Alligator mississippiensis: one gene and its partner. The protein of the gene in region 2 purifies or fractionates together with the protein of the main gene of each other region. This does not show direct contact. Links are inferred from orthologs where the notes say so. Each region holds a gene or a part of one and is shown on either strand. Other genes may lie near its edges.

Region 1 (7,500 bases), about 97 Mb from region 2:
CTTCCTGGAGTCCCCTACCTCACTCAACACATCTCACTAGCAGCATAAATTTAATTTGTTCCTTAAGCACCGCTCATCCTATCACTGGATCCAGGCAGTAGCTCTGCAGGGAAAATAGCCCAATCATGTAAGTGCTATGATAAAGGAGACAAAATTAATGGACAACCTTCTTAATTCTGGGATTTCCTATATATACAATTGTATACCATTTCCTATATATTTTTACATAAAAGCAAATCTAATATTTGTTCTTGAAACAACACCTCTCCCCCATCATTAAAAATGCAAGAATCCTGAACCTCCAGTACAGGTCTTTCACATTTAATGCAAAAGACTGATTACCCAGCTCGCAGCAACAGAAAGTCACTTTCTTCTGCGGCCCAGCCATTAAAGGACAGCCCAACAGACTGAAACACCAGCTACATCTCCAGGAACTTCAACCACAAAGAGATGGTGTGTTCCATACAGTGATCATTTAAGAAAACTGTGTTACATTCCACATTTGTACACCCCCTCATCATTTGCTGTCCTCACATTGTTCACTTGGCTTCTGCCCCAGTACCTCTTCCCCCCCCTACAGTCTGCGTCTGCCTTGCCCATTTAAACTGCAGGTTCTTTGAAGTAGTATAAGATTGTGAAAAAAACAGGATTATGGCCAGGAGGAATATAAACAAACAAAAATTTTAGCTCCTCTAAAAGTGGAAGGGGAGCTAGTCCTGGGGAGTGTGCTACTACTGTTAAGATGCAACTATTACAGCTGTGAATGCTTGTGGCCATACAAAAGTTAACCTTTAAGCCTGGAAGCACTGCTAAAGTTGGAAATACTTTTATAGTGATACAAGTGTAGCAAAACAGATCAGGTTTTAGAGCACCCTGCAAATCTGTACTGGTTTAACTAAGGTTTTACTACTTTAAAAAGTTTTGCCATTTAGCTATGCTTACAAAGTAAGAGAGGCAAAAACCCATGCTGCAGATGCCCATACCTGCATCAAAATTTGTATGTGGCTACAGTTTATTCATTTGGAAAAGTAAAATAAAATATAAATGAAAAAATGTATCAAGCAGGCATAACTATATGCACACAAACACTTCTACTGACATAATTATGAAGTGGAAGGGTTGGGGGACGACTTTCTCCCCTTAGCATCCTCACTATGTTGGTAAGACTTTAAGTGGAGAAGTTTAAATCAATTTTGTAAACGTGCCTTTAGTTAATCCAGTGCAAGTTTGTGTGTAAACAAGACCCAAGAGGGATATTGCCACAGCCACTTGTGTGTTGAGACCTGGTTCTTATGATCAACCCACTAGCTCTCAGCATCTCCCAAAACAACTCATTAGAAAGTTAAACGATATTAGAAAATAATATTCTTCCTTCTTGATTTATTACCATGACTATCTATGATCTGTAAACCAGAGTCTTCGAAGCATTTTCATGGCAGTCTATGAGAACCGCTGGCAGGTCAGTGCTAGCTTAGCGCGCTGCTTCCATGGCCCTAGTGGCTTCTACAGGCAGCCAGGCTCTCGCAAGAGCCCCTTCCCTTATAAAAAAGAGCCCAGCTACCTGTAAAACCAGACAGAGACACGGACTGCAAGCATCAATTTCTAGCAAGAGGGGTAAGTTATGTTAATGAACATGCTGGAAAGCAAATGATGTAGACGGGCAGCATAATCAGAGCTGACAGCACTAACGGCCACCAGGCACACACGAGAGCAGAAGGTCAGAGGGAGACACAGAACATAACAGAACTGATTGGTAAGGATTCCCATAAAGAAGATACTTATTATTCTAAATAGCATCCAAAAAACTGCAAATCTCTGCTCCTTTGGCATTTAGCAACAGCTGCTTATTGTAAAGGAGACCAGAGGGAGTCTAGATGACCACGACTATGGGCAGCCCTAACAATCTGTATTTGGGCGAGATCTAGATTATTAGAGGTCCAAAACATCCATTCATTGTCTTCTGGACCAACTGCTAACCTTTACATGAGACATCTTTATTACCTGAACACCCAGCACTGATACACAAATAAAAAATATGAATTGACATTCTTTATCCTAGTGCTTGGATGCAATCGCAGGAACTTGGCCACCAGACATTTCACAAGAGGTGTCCCGAAACATCAATATTTAGGGAAGGCGGTGGAGTTGCTTGGGAAGACAGAGGGGGTTTTCCAGCCGTGCTTTATCAACAACTGGAGCCTCCTACCTGTGATGGTGCCATGCACCTGCGTGCCATTCTTCAGTTCGATGGTGACAGTCTCGTGGCTCAGCTTCATCAGAAACCTGCGGAACGAACCACAGGTAAACACACACATCTTCTGTGCCCAACACACAGTTAAAAACACATCCTAACGATGGAACACGGCAAGGCCGTGATGAGCACACATTAACGATGCTGGGGGGCTTCAAAGCAGCACCCAATAATGTAGGAATCCATCAGGGACCTGCAGCCCCTTGCCAGGGACCTTCAGGCAGGTGCAACAAAGGCAGGAATGGGCACCCCAGGGGCAGACATCCCAACTCCCCCCACCTGAGTTCAGCAACTCTGCTGGGGCAGGGGACATGCATGTGTGCGTGTGCCCCACCCTGCACATACGGCCTCGTGTCGGCCGCTCCCAAAGTTTGGTCCATGGGACCGAACCTTGGGAGCAGCCGGCGCGCGGGGCCGTATGTGCATGCGCAGTGTGCGCGCGTGTATTGGGGGGGCTCCGAAGCCCCTCGCGGGGGTCTCGGCGCAGTGTGACCCGGGCAGGTGAGGGGGAAGAAAGGAGCAGACAAGGAGCGCGAGGCTCCGTGAGGGGCAGCGGGCGTTGGGGGTGTGAGGCAGGAGGCGGGAAAGGCCCAGGCCCGGCGCGCGCCACTCCCCGCCGCCGGGGCCCGCTCCTAAATCCGGCTCCATCCGGGCCCTCCTCACCTCACGAGCTTCATGGCGGCAGCCGAGACCGCGGGAAGCAAACGGCCGGAGAAAAAAAGAGAAAAAAATTGAGCCCGGTGCGGAGGCCTCAGACCAGGCCGCGCCGGAGGCTCGCGCCAAGGAAGCGGCAAAAGCTACTAACAAATGAATGGGCGGAAGCGGCACCGGAAGTGCGTGTGAACGCGCGGCCGCCACCTGCTGGCTAGGGGGAGGCCTAGCAGCGTCTGCAAGCGCCGCGCGTGAGCAGTGGACTCCTGGGCGGGGCGGGAGTGGAGGCCAGAGGACACCGGATTGGTTCGGCCCCCGAGTGGCGGGCTTCAGTCACGTGCCCCAGCTTGAATCCGGGCAGGAGGTGGGCCGGCCGCATTGACTGCTTTCTTTTACTTGCTCAGCCCAGTGCGGGGGCGGGGGGGAGGAGGAGGAGGACAACGGGTCCCAGCGGAGGGGGCAGAAGTGGCATGAACGGGAGTTGTAGGAGAAACCCGGAGGTTTCCAATAGGAAGCCCCAGTGCCAAACCCTGCTGCAGCCAAATACTTTTGTCTTATTACAAAAAAAAAAAATAAATAAATGGAAAAAACTTAAGAGCAGGGAGGGCATCCCTCCTTGGTTTAAACGTTGCCCCCCCCCCCATCTTGTTTTCATTTAATTGGTGGAAATACATGACATTCACTTGTCCATGCCATTCTATTGGCTGTGCCTAGAGCTAGGTCAGGGCACAGCTAGGAAAAGCAGGGCTCCCAGGGAGAGGGGCCAAGGCCTTTTTCTGTGATGGCTCCACCCTTTGTCACTGATTGGCCAAAGGGTCCTATAGGTCCAGCCCTTGCTGCCAATTGGTCATGGAGACATACCTCTTGCTGCTGATTGGCCGAGGGGGCCATCTCTCAGCAAGGGGCTACCCTGGATTCTGGGAATGTCAGGGGTTCCCTACCTGGGGGGGCTCCCCAAGTCCTGGGTCCAGTGCTGGGAAGCCAGGCAGCTAGAACACCTGCTTGCTAGTGCACAATATCCCCCTTGTGCAGACCTCTCCTTGGCATTCTTAACCAATCCACAAGAAAAAAAAAAGGGGGGGGGGGGGTTTCTTTTGGGGAAGGGACAAGAACCTGACAGCAAGTAATGAGAGTTGTCGGGGAAACAAAAATTGTGGAAATAAATTTCCTCTCTTTAGTCAAGCTGTCACAGGTCAGATACTAAACTGCTGGTTTTCAATAAGGGGTGGATCCAGCCCCTTCAAAAAAACACTACTTTCTCATTTTTTTATATTTAATGAGTCAGATACTCTAGTTCTCCCCGTACCCCTCAGATGCTCCAGTTCTCTGACCCCACCCCTCCCCTGCAGATGGTCAGAAACATCTACAGAAACACTGAAATACATTTTAAAATGTTGCAGGAGTGAGTGTTTTGATACAGGACGTATGAGTAGTCACTTCCTTGGTCACGTTTTTTGTTAAAAAGAGGATATATAAAGCAAAAACGTAGAAGAAACTGTGTGGGCCAGGCCCCGATCCCGCCGCCAAGTGCGAGTCGGGAGGGGCGATCCGTGGCCCGTCTTTTGCACACGTGGGCTGTGGCCAGCAGCCCGGGCACACGGGGTCGGAGAAAACCAGCGGTGAGCTAGAATCAGTCACAAACGCGTAGTGGTTGATTGAAAAGATTATTTACTTACACCCAAAGATGGTAGTGGTATAGGCTGGACAGCTTTCCAGGTGCAGCTCCGCTTAAATCCTCGCTGGAAGACTACGACAAATTCCTTCCCATGGAGTTGTTTAGGCTCCACAGGTTCGGCAATTCTTTCCCACGGAGTTGTTGAAGCTGCACGGGCTCAGTTCGGTTCCCTGGTCCCCCGGAGTTGTTAAGGCTCCGTGGGTTCAAAAATTGGGTTTACAGGAAAGGGATACGTCTGGGATTGCGCTCGGCGACGGGGAGAGGCTGGAGGCGGTTCGTTCTTTTTCCTTTTTCCCTCCAGAGTAGTTAGAGCTCTGGGGGCTTGATTATTAAGCCTTTATTGCCTGCTTGAGACGCGTTGGGTCCGTGAGGATCCGCAGTGCTTAGAGATCTTCACACTGGGTGAAGTCTCCTCCTCCTGGTGTTCGTGGAGTCCTCCAACTTGGGCGGAAACAACTCGAGCCTTTTGTACAGCTAGCAAGCCAATAGCTAGCCGCCACGCGTGCCTACATTCAGAGCCGGCCAATAAAGTGGCGCGAATCTGAATACAAATGGCGAGAACTCCTTTGCACCGTACATCTCTGAGATGCAAAAGAAATGCACCCTGCAAAGAAGCTGCAAATTGGTGGGAAATCCCCTGTTGCACCAGAGTTCTCTCCCGCAGCAGAGAACTCTACCGTGCAAAGAAAGCTACAATTTAGGCGGGAACAATAATTTAGCGGTGCCAAAGCACACACAAACAAAAACCACAACTTTGGGTTGTGACAGAAACCAACCATAGTACTAGTCTTCACCCCTCACACTTGTGTAGGCAATACAGAACAAGCTTAAGGGGAGGAAATTATTATAACTAACTCATTTCTAGGCTTGCTTCCAAAAAGGAGAGAGAATTGTTATGCTAATTTGAGAATTTTCACATACTAATCATCCATTAAAATTAAGTGCAAAATAGTAGGACCTTGTATTCCCCCCCCCCATTAGGCCTTCCTCCAGTGTTGTTGAGTGCTGCTTGCCTATAAGGTACAATTAAAAATATTTACCTCTAAGGGAAAAAAAGACCAAAAAAAAAAAATCTAGAAAAGATTGAAATTTTATTGTAATTTATGGAGTACACCATATGTGAATTTAGAAATACAGACTTTGCAAAGTACTGAAGGAGAGACACCCTTCCAACTCTCAAAACATACATCAGGTCTTGCTACATAGGTACATTAACCATTCAAGTTTGGTCTTTGTTGCAAACTCTTAAACAGAGGATGCACAGAAGATTTACTTGAGCCACGTTTCAAAATGCCCCGCTAGTGAGACCTTCCAATCATTATTTTAAGCTATGATGCACGCTTATCTATTATGCAGTTATGTCTGAGATTAAGTTAGAGAAATTTCCAGTTCAACCATCAACCGATATTTCCATTATAGTATCTAAAAAGCTAGACAGGTATTTTGCTTTTTCCTTACTAGTATAAGTAATGTACAGATAACAGGTAATGTTTAAAAACAAAACCCAGAGAGGCCTTCAGAAACATTTGAGGTTAAAATGAACAATTACCATTGCAAAAAAACTGTACATATTTTCAATCATAACACAATGATACACTGCAGCATCAGTTTTGTGTACTAGTTTCAATAGTGACTAACAGTTGTGCTAACCCTAGTATTCTACATTTTTCTTCTAATATTTAAACTTCATAATTGCAATATGAATATACAGCTGTACTTACAAGAAATATTAAACAATGCACAGCGTCTTAAGCAAATTTCATGTCTGGTTTTCCTGAAACCATATAAAATAAAATGGCAAAATATTTTAAAATTGGTCCTTGATTAGGATTATCTATTTTTTTAAATACAGCTTGGAAGCACTAAATTTAAGACACACATTTATTGATAACTAACACAAATTATTTTTGTACCTTAGTCTTTTTTTTTTTTTTTTTTAAGAAGTGTTACAACATCATGCATGAAAAGCAAGTTGCTTTTGCTCCCAAGTGCAAAAAAATGGAATTTAAGAGAAGTCCATCTCCCCAGAGTTGTTTTCTTCCACAGGTTACCCCAAAATGTATAGAAGCAGTGACTAACAAAAAACAATGTGGAGTGCATCTTCTACATGGTGACTGTTCTTAAAATAAGGTAGTACTTTGGACCTTTAGCATAAGAGGGTTCAATAAACACAGTAGAAGGAGTTTTACATTCTTAGGTTTCATTTATATCTTGAGACAACTTGTATTTGAATTTGAATCGTGCTTAAGCTGTCAAACTGTAATACAGTATTGTCTGAAGACTGCAATATTTAGGCAGTGCCGACATTTGCTGCTTCAGAAATGTCTAATCACTTTCTTATTCTTCCCTCCCTAACAATGATTTAATTGAATATTGCATCAAAAGACAACACACATTTTAAACAAAGCATTAATACACATTTTTGTTTAAGTTTGGAGCAAACAGAGTGATATGTATACAAATAGGACTCTTGCTCACATGGACTATTATGACAAATGAAATTCAACTGTAAAATCTAGAAAGCAAACTCCACTTCCCTGTTCTTAGAGTGAAGTTATATTAGCTCAGAACATGATTTGAGTCTATCATAACACTCCAACATCTGGGTATGTTGACACATGAGCAGCACCACAGACCTCTCCCATCAAAATCACATAACTTGGCTGGAACTACCCTGCTCACCTGTCAGCTGAGTAGGCCTGTTAATACATCAACACACACCTAACACCAGCATCATTGTGGTTTCCACATGAAACTTACTTTGTTATGAGGGCAACCTTCACAACTAATGCAATATTCCAAAAGATCACTGTGACAAACTGAAATCAGATCTCAACTGTAAGGTACCACCACCAAAGTGATAATTTAGTTCTCTCCCAGAAAAGAAGAAAGTTAAAAAGACCACTACTTGGTGTGGAAAGCA
Region 2 (7,060 bases):
TTGCCAAACCAGCCTCAGAATCCCCATCTCCGCTGACCAGCAGAGGGTGCTCTTGTATTCCTCTGGGTGGCTCAAATGGACCTGACAGCTGTGGAGATGACTTGCTGGCACCCCCTTGGCAGAGGGCAGCACTGGAGTTCCAGGAGAGGGAAAGATCCCCTTAAAGACTACTGCCATACAGGTGAACCACAGCCATAACACAAAGTACTTGAGTTTTCCCTGGTGGCAGCCAGCATGGCAGAGCCCACATGCTGGACTCTTAACCAACCACAAAGGCTTGTGGAATACTGTTCCCAATACCCCGGGACACAGCAGGGTAGTGTCAAAGGGGGCAGATTCTTGGTTGAGACTCTGCTGAATTGCCCAAGGGGCAAGTCAGCCCCTAACAATTCAGAGCAGGCACTAACACAGGCACCCGCTTCTCCTTTCACATAGCCCAGGGATTCAGGCTGCACCAGAAGCATCTTCCAGGACAGAGCCAGGCTGGGGCAGCCCATCACCCCATTTCCCTCATGGTTAAAGGCTCTTACAATACATATGGATTGGAAAAAAGCATCTGGATTCAGTGTCCATTGAGTGGATGCCATTGGCCACCAAACGATAAAAGGTTTTTCCTGGGGTGGGGAGGGATTAAGGTCTACCAGTGCTGAGCTGCTCACCAGGCCTGTGTGGTTACCCCAGTGACATGTAAGGGAGCAATGGGGCTGGCATCATGGCCAGGTGCCTTCCCCACCCTGAGCACAGGTGAGATGATGCCTGTTTATAGCTGGGTCAACAGTAGGTGGCCACTGGCACATGCCCTGAAAGGGGGTTTGGATTCACACTAAGGGTGCAGAATTTGGCACTGTCTCCATGCCTGGGCTTTCCTTGCTGTGAAGAAGCTGAAACAGCTTCGTGGGCACGATGCAGAAGGTGGGTTCTTACCCGCTTGATAGGGCCATAGACTTCAAATTCTCTTCTCAGCTTGGATTCTGTTGTGTCGTAGTTCTACAGGGTTTAAAGGACAGGCTGGTGAGGATTCAGGAAGATCAGGGGGCAGGGGGAAGGGAAGAGGATAGGAACCCCGGAAAAGGATCCCCCCTGACCCTAATGGTAAAAACCAAGATTAGACGCAGGTAAGTAATATGGAAGCTGTTTCTACACAGTATAAGAGGCAAGGAGAAGGGGAGACACTTACTACTCTGGCCACAAATAGGGTCTTGAAGGCATCACCCTGTGCATTGGGGTCGTTGTGTGGGTCCCCTGGATGGGCAGAAAACAAGGATATGTATAAGAGGTGGGCAAAGAGAACCCCTCACCCCCACAGTCACTGGGTGGCCTCCCACCCAAGTCAGAAGTGGGATAAGTCACAGCTGAGGATGGGCAGAGGCTGCAGAGCTAGGTTAGATGAACCGGAGCAGGAACCTCACCCCCTCACTTACACATCTTCAGCTCACTCTCCACCTCTTGCTGCCTCCGCTCAATCTTCTCTCTTCTCTGCAGAAAGGAAAATGAACAGGTAACAGCTGGTAGCTTTCCCCAGGTCCAGAAAGTGCTGGAAACCCCTCCCAGGGGAACCGGTAATCCCAGGGGGTAACAGGGGAGGTGGTGGAGCTGCATCAGGTAACTACCTGGTTGCTATGGGACAGGCTTGGGGTTGTTTCCCCAGTTGCTATGGCTCAAGACTGGGGGCCTTGCCCTGACTACTATGGCCTAGGTCATGGGATCATCATTCTGGTTACTATGGCACAGATCACAAACCATGACTTTTAAAGATACCACTGTTTCACCCTCAACATGCTCTGAGGGGTTGTTATCTTCAACTTGTAGATGGGGCTACTGGGGACCTCACCTCCAAAGTAAGCCAAGGCCAAGGACAAAACTGTCACAAAATACAACCCACCAGTCCTGGCTCCTAGCTCCCCAACTCCACTCAATCCCATTCCTCTCCTCTCTAGGGACAGAACCCAGACATCCAGGTTCCCAGCTCTTTAACCCACTAGGCTAGAGCAGAAAAGAGAAATAGACCCAGAACATCTGGGTTCTTTTTCCTGTGCTGGAATCATTGGAGAAGAGAAACAACAGAGAATATTAGAGAGAATGCGGTAGTTAAGTTTCACCCAAACTTGCCCCTTTGCCACATAATACAGGGATGGCTTCTTAATGCCCCCAGCCCCTTTCTCCCACCACTGCTGGCTGTAACACCAGGGGGCACTGGGGTCCTCTGAAGCTGGCAGGGCAGTTGTACCTTCCGCTCCATCCGCTCTTCACGGGTCTCGGCACGGGTGGGTGGAGGGGCATCACGTGGGTCCTGGAAGAGAGAAAGCAGCATAGTGGCAGGGCACCAAGGAGACATAAGGGTAGCCTGAACTGGCAGAGGGCAAACTTGGTGGCTTCAGAGCAAAGAAACAGAGAGAGAGTCCAGCATTAGCCAGTCCAGGCTAGGCTGCTGGGTGGGAGCAGTGAGCACTCACCTCAAACTCCCGGATGTAAGGGGCAATGCCAGAGTAGGGCTGGTTGTGGTGTTTCTCATGGGGCAGCTTCTCCAGAGGGGGCAGATAAGGGATGGGGTCTCGGGGGGCAAAGAGTGCCAGCAAGTTGGGGGGGAGGAACTGCGTCATCGTGGGGAATCTGATGGGGAAACAGCAGACAATGACCCGTCAGGAGCCTGCATGGAGCGCTGCCCCCGCCATGAACCCTGTTGGGCTGCAGACCCTCTTCCCCCATGTCCCCCCCCACAACACCGCTGCTCCTCCTGCCTGCCCCAACCTCCTCTCCCAACTGGGCTCGAGCCCAGCCCGCCCCCTTCCCACCGAGCCCTCCTCCCTCCCCACACACCCACCCCAGTCCCCCTCCCAGACCCTGCCCCATACGCCACTCCCTTCTCCCCCAACCCCCCTGCTCCTTCCCGCCCTCCCTCCCTCATCCACCCACCGCCCGGGCCGCGCCGCGCTCAGCTCCTCCTGCTGCTGCCGTCGCCGCCTGCCGCGGGCCTACTCTTCCGCCGCTCTGCGCAGGCGCAACCCTCTCACCGCGCCGGATTTCTCCGCTGCCGGGCCTAGTCTCGGAGGCAGCGCGAGACTCGCGGTAAGTTCGCGAGTGTCAAAATCGAGGCTCTTCCGCGGTCGCCGTCGGAAAATAGTCCCGGATCACGGGGAGGGGGGAAGGGAAGGGCGGGAGGCGGAGCCACGTGACAGTACGGGGACCGCCCCAGGTCAGTGCCATGCAACCAGGGTGACGGCCCCAGACGTGTGCCATAGCAACCAGAACCATGACCCCTGACCTGGGCCCTAGCAACTCAGCCAGTGACCCCTTACCAGTGCCTTGGCAACCCGAACCATGACTCCAGACCTGTGCCATAGCAGCTAAGGCAATGACCCCTGACCTGTGCCTTAGCAACCAAAACCATGACCCCAACTCATGCCTTAACAACCAGAACCTGACCTGTGTCAAAGCAAATGAGGCAATGATCCCTGACCTGTGCCATAGCAACCAGAACCACAACCGCTGACCAGTCCCATACAAACAAGAATGACTCTGACCTAGGCCCTAGTAACCAGGACAAGGACTCCAGTGCCATGCCATTGCAACTGGAGAAACAACCCCAGGCCTGTGTCCTCGCAACCACACGATAACCCTGACCTATGCCACAGCAGCTGGGGATACCACCCCAGGCCTATGCTATAGCAACAGACATAAGCACCAAATTTTATTTTTTTGCCAGTGTGGGCCCTGAGATGATGGGCATGTGGAAAGTTTTATGCATTTCAGGTGACACCCCGCTTCACGTGGGGGGCCAGTGACCTTGGGCCCCCACGTACTTGGCTCCTCTGACAACAGAACAATGACTGCTGACCTGTGCCATAGTAATCACAACAATGACCCCTGACCCAGGTCTTAGAAACCAGGGCATTGAGTCCTGACACATGCCACGGAAACTGAAGAAATGGCCCCTGATCCAAGCCACAGCAACAAGGGCAATGGTCTGTGACTTGCGCCATAGCAAAAGCAGCAGTGCCACCTAACCCATGCCATAGTAACTGCAACAATAAGCTCTGACCCAGGCCATAGCAAGTATGGCAGTGAACTGTGACCCATGCTATAGTAACCAGGGCAAAGACCCTAGACCTCTGCCATACCAACTGGGACAACAATCCCTGACCATTTCCATAGCAACCAGAATGGTGACCCCTGATCCATGCCATAGCAACAGGGGAACAACCTCAGGTCTGTGCCATAGCAACTGGATAATGACCCCTGACTCGTGCCATAGTAACCAGAACAATCACACCTGACCTCTGCTATGTCAACCAGAGCATTGACTGCTGATCTGCTATAGTAACCACAAAGATTACCTCTGACCAATGCCATAGCAACTGGGACAATGATCCCTGACCTGTACCATAGCAGCCAGGGCTCAGAAAGCAGGGTGACAACCCCTAATTTATGCTATAGCAACCAGGGCAAAGACCTCTGACCCATGTCTTACAAATCGTTGAATCACAAGAGCCTCCATACCCCAGGCCTGCCCAGTGGTGCCCCTGGACCCATATGTCCCAGGCCTGCTTCTGGTAAGGCCCAGTGGCCTGAAGAGGGAGAAAGAGATAACCGTGGGGGGCAGAAGAGGACACCATTCACCTGGAAGGGACACTGACTTTTTTTTTTTTGGGGGGGGGGGGGAGGATTAAAAAAAAATATATATGTATATATATATGTGTGTGTGTGTATATGTGTATGTATGTGTATATATATATATATATATATATATATACACACACACAGAGCATCCTGGATAAGCATTTCTACACAAACCTTAAAATGCATTTAAAAGCTGTGCACCTGTTACAATGGTCACCCTGGGACACTGACCCACCACACACACACAGAGCAAGCAGGGGGGAGCAGAAGGTGTCTGAGACAGTGAGAGGGATGGGGTCTGGTGAGTTAGAGCAAGGCAGGGGGTTGGGAGTCAGGATGGGTCCTATTGCAGCTCTGGAAGGGGAGTGCAGTCTGGGGGTGAGACCAGGGGGAACTGGGAGTCAGAGCACCTGGGTTCTCTCCCAGCTCTGGGAAAAGAATTGGGGTTGGCAGGTTACAGCAGGAGGGCATGGAGCCAGGACTCCGGGGTTCCAGCTCCAGCTCTAAGTTTACTAGGTTAATTAACTGTGTCATGTTTAATTAGGTTTCTTAGGAATTACTGCCTGGGAGGTGTCAAACCACCCAAACAAGCTATAGGATAGATCAGCAGTCAATGCTCTGGTTGCCATAGCAGAGGTCAGGTGTGATTGTTCTGATTACTATGGCACGAGTCAGGGGTCATTGTCCAGTTGCTATGGCACAGTCCTGAACACCTCTCCCTGCCTGTGATGGAAGGGACACCAGTGTCTGTAACCTATGGCCTTGACCCTCATCTTACACCCAGGCCCTTCTTCCAACCTGCCAGACCCCACTTCCCTCCCAGAGCTGGCATTGAACCCAGGAGTCCTGGCTCCTAGTCCTCTCTTCCTCTATTAGACTCCACTCCCCTCTCAGAGCTGGGCAAGAACCCAGGCGTCCAGGCTTCCAGCACCCCGGGTGCCCTGCCTTCCTTTGCAACCCTGTCCTCGGGAGTTGTCCTCCCCCTGCTATTTTTAGCACCCCCAGAGCTAAGTGTGGCTGGGGTGGGGAGGGCAGTGGGGAGGGGGCGGGTACTGAATTTTGGCACAGGGGGGCTAGGAGTCTGTGCAGCCCGGCAACATGACACCTCCCTGGTCTGAGAAAGTGTTTACAGGCAGAGGACCTGAGCACTGGCATTGGGACGGACAGACGGACAGAACAGTCTGGGGTAAAGAACCTGGGTGGGGGGGGGGGGAGCAGCAGAAAAGAAGGGAATGCCAAGCAAAGGGGCTGCTGGGAGGGTCCCGAGGTGGAAAGTGGAGGGGATAAGACTGGTCCATTAGAAAAAAACTGAGAGAGAGAGAAAAAGGAGAGAAAAACGGGAAGAAGAGGAAAGCGCCTGTAGGGGAGGAAGATAGTGGGACAGAAGGAGCTGGTCAGAGCAGTGGGGAGACAGAGTGGAGTGAGTAAGGTGGGGGGTGGAATTTGTGGAGTGAATTAAGGACCGTGTCAGTGCCAGAAACGAAGGGAGGGGGGAACCCACGGTAGAAGAGACGAGACGCATCAGTGGAAAGAGGAGCCGAGGCCGGACGAAGGGGCCCAGGCCACAGCAGGAAGCCCCCACCCACTGGCCCATGGCCCCCAGCCCCACGCTCTGAGTGTGCCAGACATGGAGAAGCCCCTGGCTGAGCCAGGGGGCCCCTACCCACTCTGCCCACACAAGGACTGCTGCGAGCGGGTGGTCATCAACGTCTCGGGGCTGCGCTTTGAGACACAAGTCAAGACGCTGCGCCAGTTTCCTGATACGCTGCTGGGTGACCCTCGGCGCAGGGTGCACTACTTTGACCCACTGCGCAACGAGTATTTCTTCGACCGCAACCGGCCCTGCTTCGACTCCATCCTATACTACTACCAGTCAGGTGGACGGCTGCGGCGCCCTGCCAACGTGCCCATCGACATCTTTCTGGAGGAGCTCAAGTTCTACCAGCTGGGCGAAGATGCCCTCACCAAATTCCGGGAGGATGAGGGCTTCATCAAGGAGGAGGAGCGGGCATTGCCTGAGCGGGAGTTCCTTAAGCAGGTGTGGCTGCTTTTTGAGTACCCTGAAAGCTCACAGGCTGCTCGTATCATCGCCATCATCTCCGTCCTTGTCATCCTCATCTCCATTGTCATCTTCTGCCTCGAGACCCTGCCTGAGTTCCGGGATGAGCAAGATATTTCCCTCCCGGTGAGTGATGGGGAAACAAAGCAGGGGTGTCTGGACCCTTTGGCTGGGCCTTGTCTGGGTCCCTTTGTCCCCAAGAGCCAGTGGGTGATGTGTCCACCCCAATGCCACAGTCCAGTCTACCCAACAGCCTGTCCTGGGGTCCCATTAGCTCTTGTACCCCATCCCTTCTACCCTCACCAGCAGACAGCTGCCCCCAATGCCCCACCACCCCACTGTGGTCTCCCTCACCACCCCCACCCTGCCCCCACCAACCCAATC

The links. Proteins that work in one complex are often made in the same cells at the same time.
Region 1: the proteins of SNRNP70 (region 2) and SNRPD1 purify together in Homo sapiens (affinity purification with mass spectrometry; 6 studies listed by BioGRID and IntAct, counting the BioPlex papers as one, with this or other methods). This does not show direct contact. The link is inferred for Alligator mississippiensis from reciprocal best matches to the Homo sapiens genes SNRNP70 and SNRPD1.

What each region holds. Positions count from the first base shown.
Region 1 is NC_081828.1:137,213,971-137,221,470, reverse strand, and holds the start of SNRPD1 (small nuclear ribonucleoprotein Sm D1), read right to left. Parts: upstream 3,067-7,500; 5' UTR 2,929-3,066; coding exon 2,915-2,928; intron 2,284-2,914; coding exon 2,207-2,283; intron 1-2,206. UniProt on the Homo sapiens protein: Plays a role in pre-mRNA splicing as a core component of the spliceosomal U1, U2, U4 and U5 small nuclear ribonucleoproteins (snRNPs), the building blocks of the spliceosome.
Region 2 is NC_081828.1:39,883,719-39,890,778, forward strand, and holds the start of SNRNP70 (U1 small nuclear ribonucleoprotein 70 kDa), read right to left. Parts: upstream 3,024-7,060; 5' UTR 2,914-3,023; intron 2,611-2,913; 5' UTR 2,601-2,610; coding exon 2,454-2,600; intron 2,291-2,453; coding exon 2,228-2,290; intron 1,477-2,227; coding exon 1,422-1,476; intron 1,243-1,421; coding exon 1,178-1,242; intron 988-1,177; coding exon 925-987; intron 1-924. Other genes in the region: KCNA7 (potassium voltage-gated channel subfamily A member 7), read left to right, coding at 6,245-6,802. UniProt on the Homo sapiens protein: Component of the spliceosomal U1 snRNP, which is essential for recognition of the pre-mRNA 5' splice-site and the subsequent assembly of the spliceosome. SNRNP70 binds to the loop I region of U1-snRNA.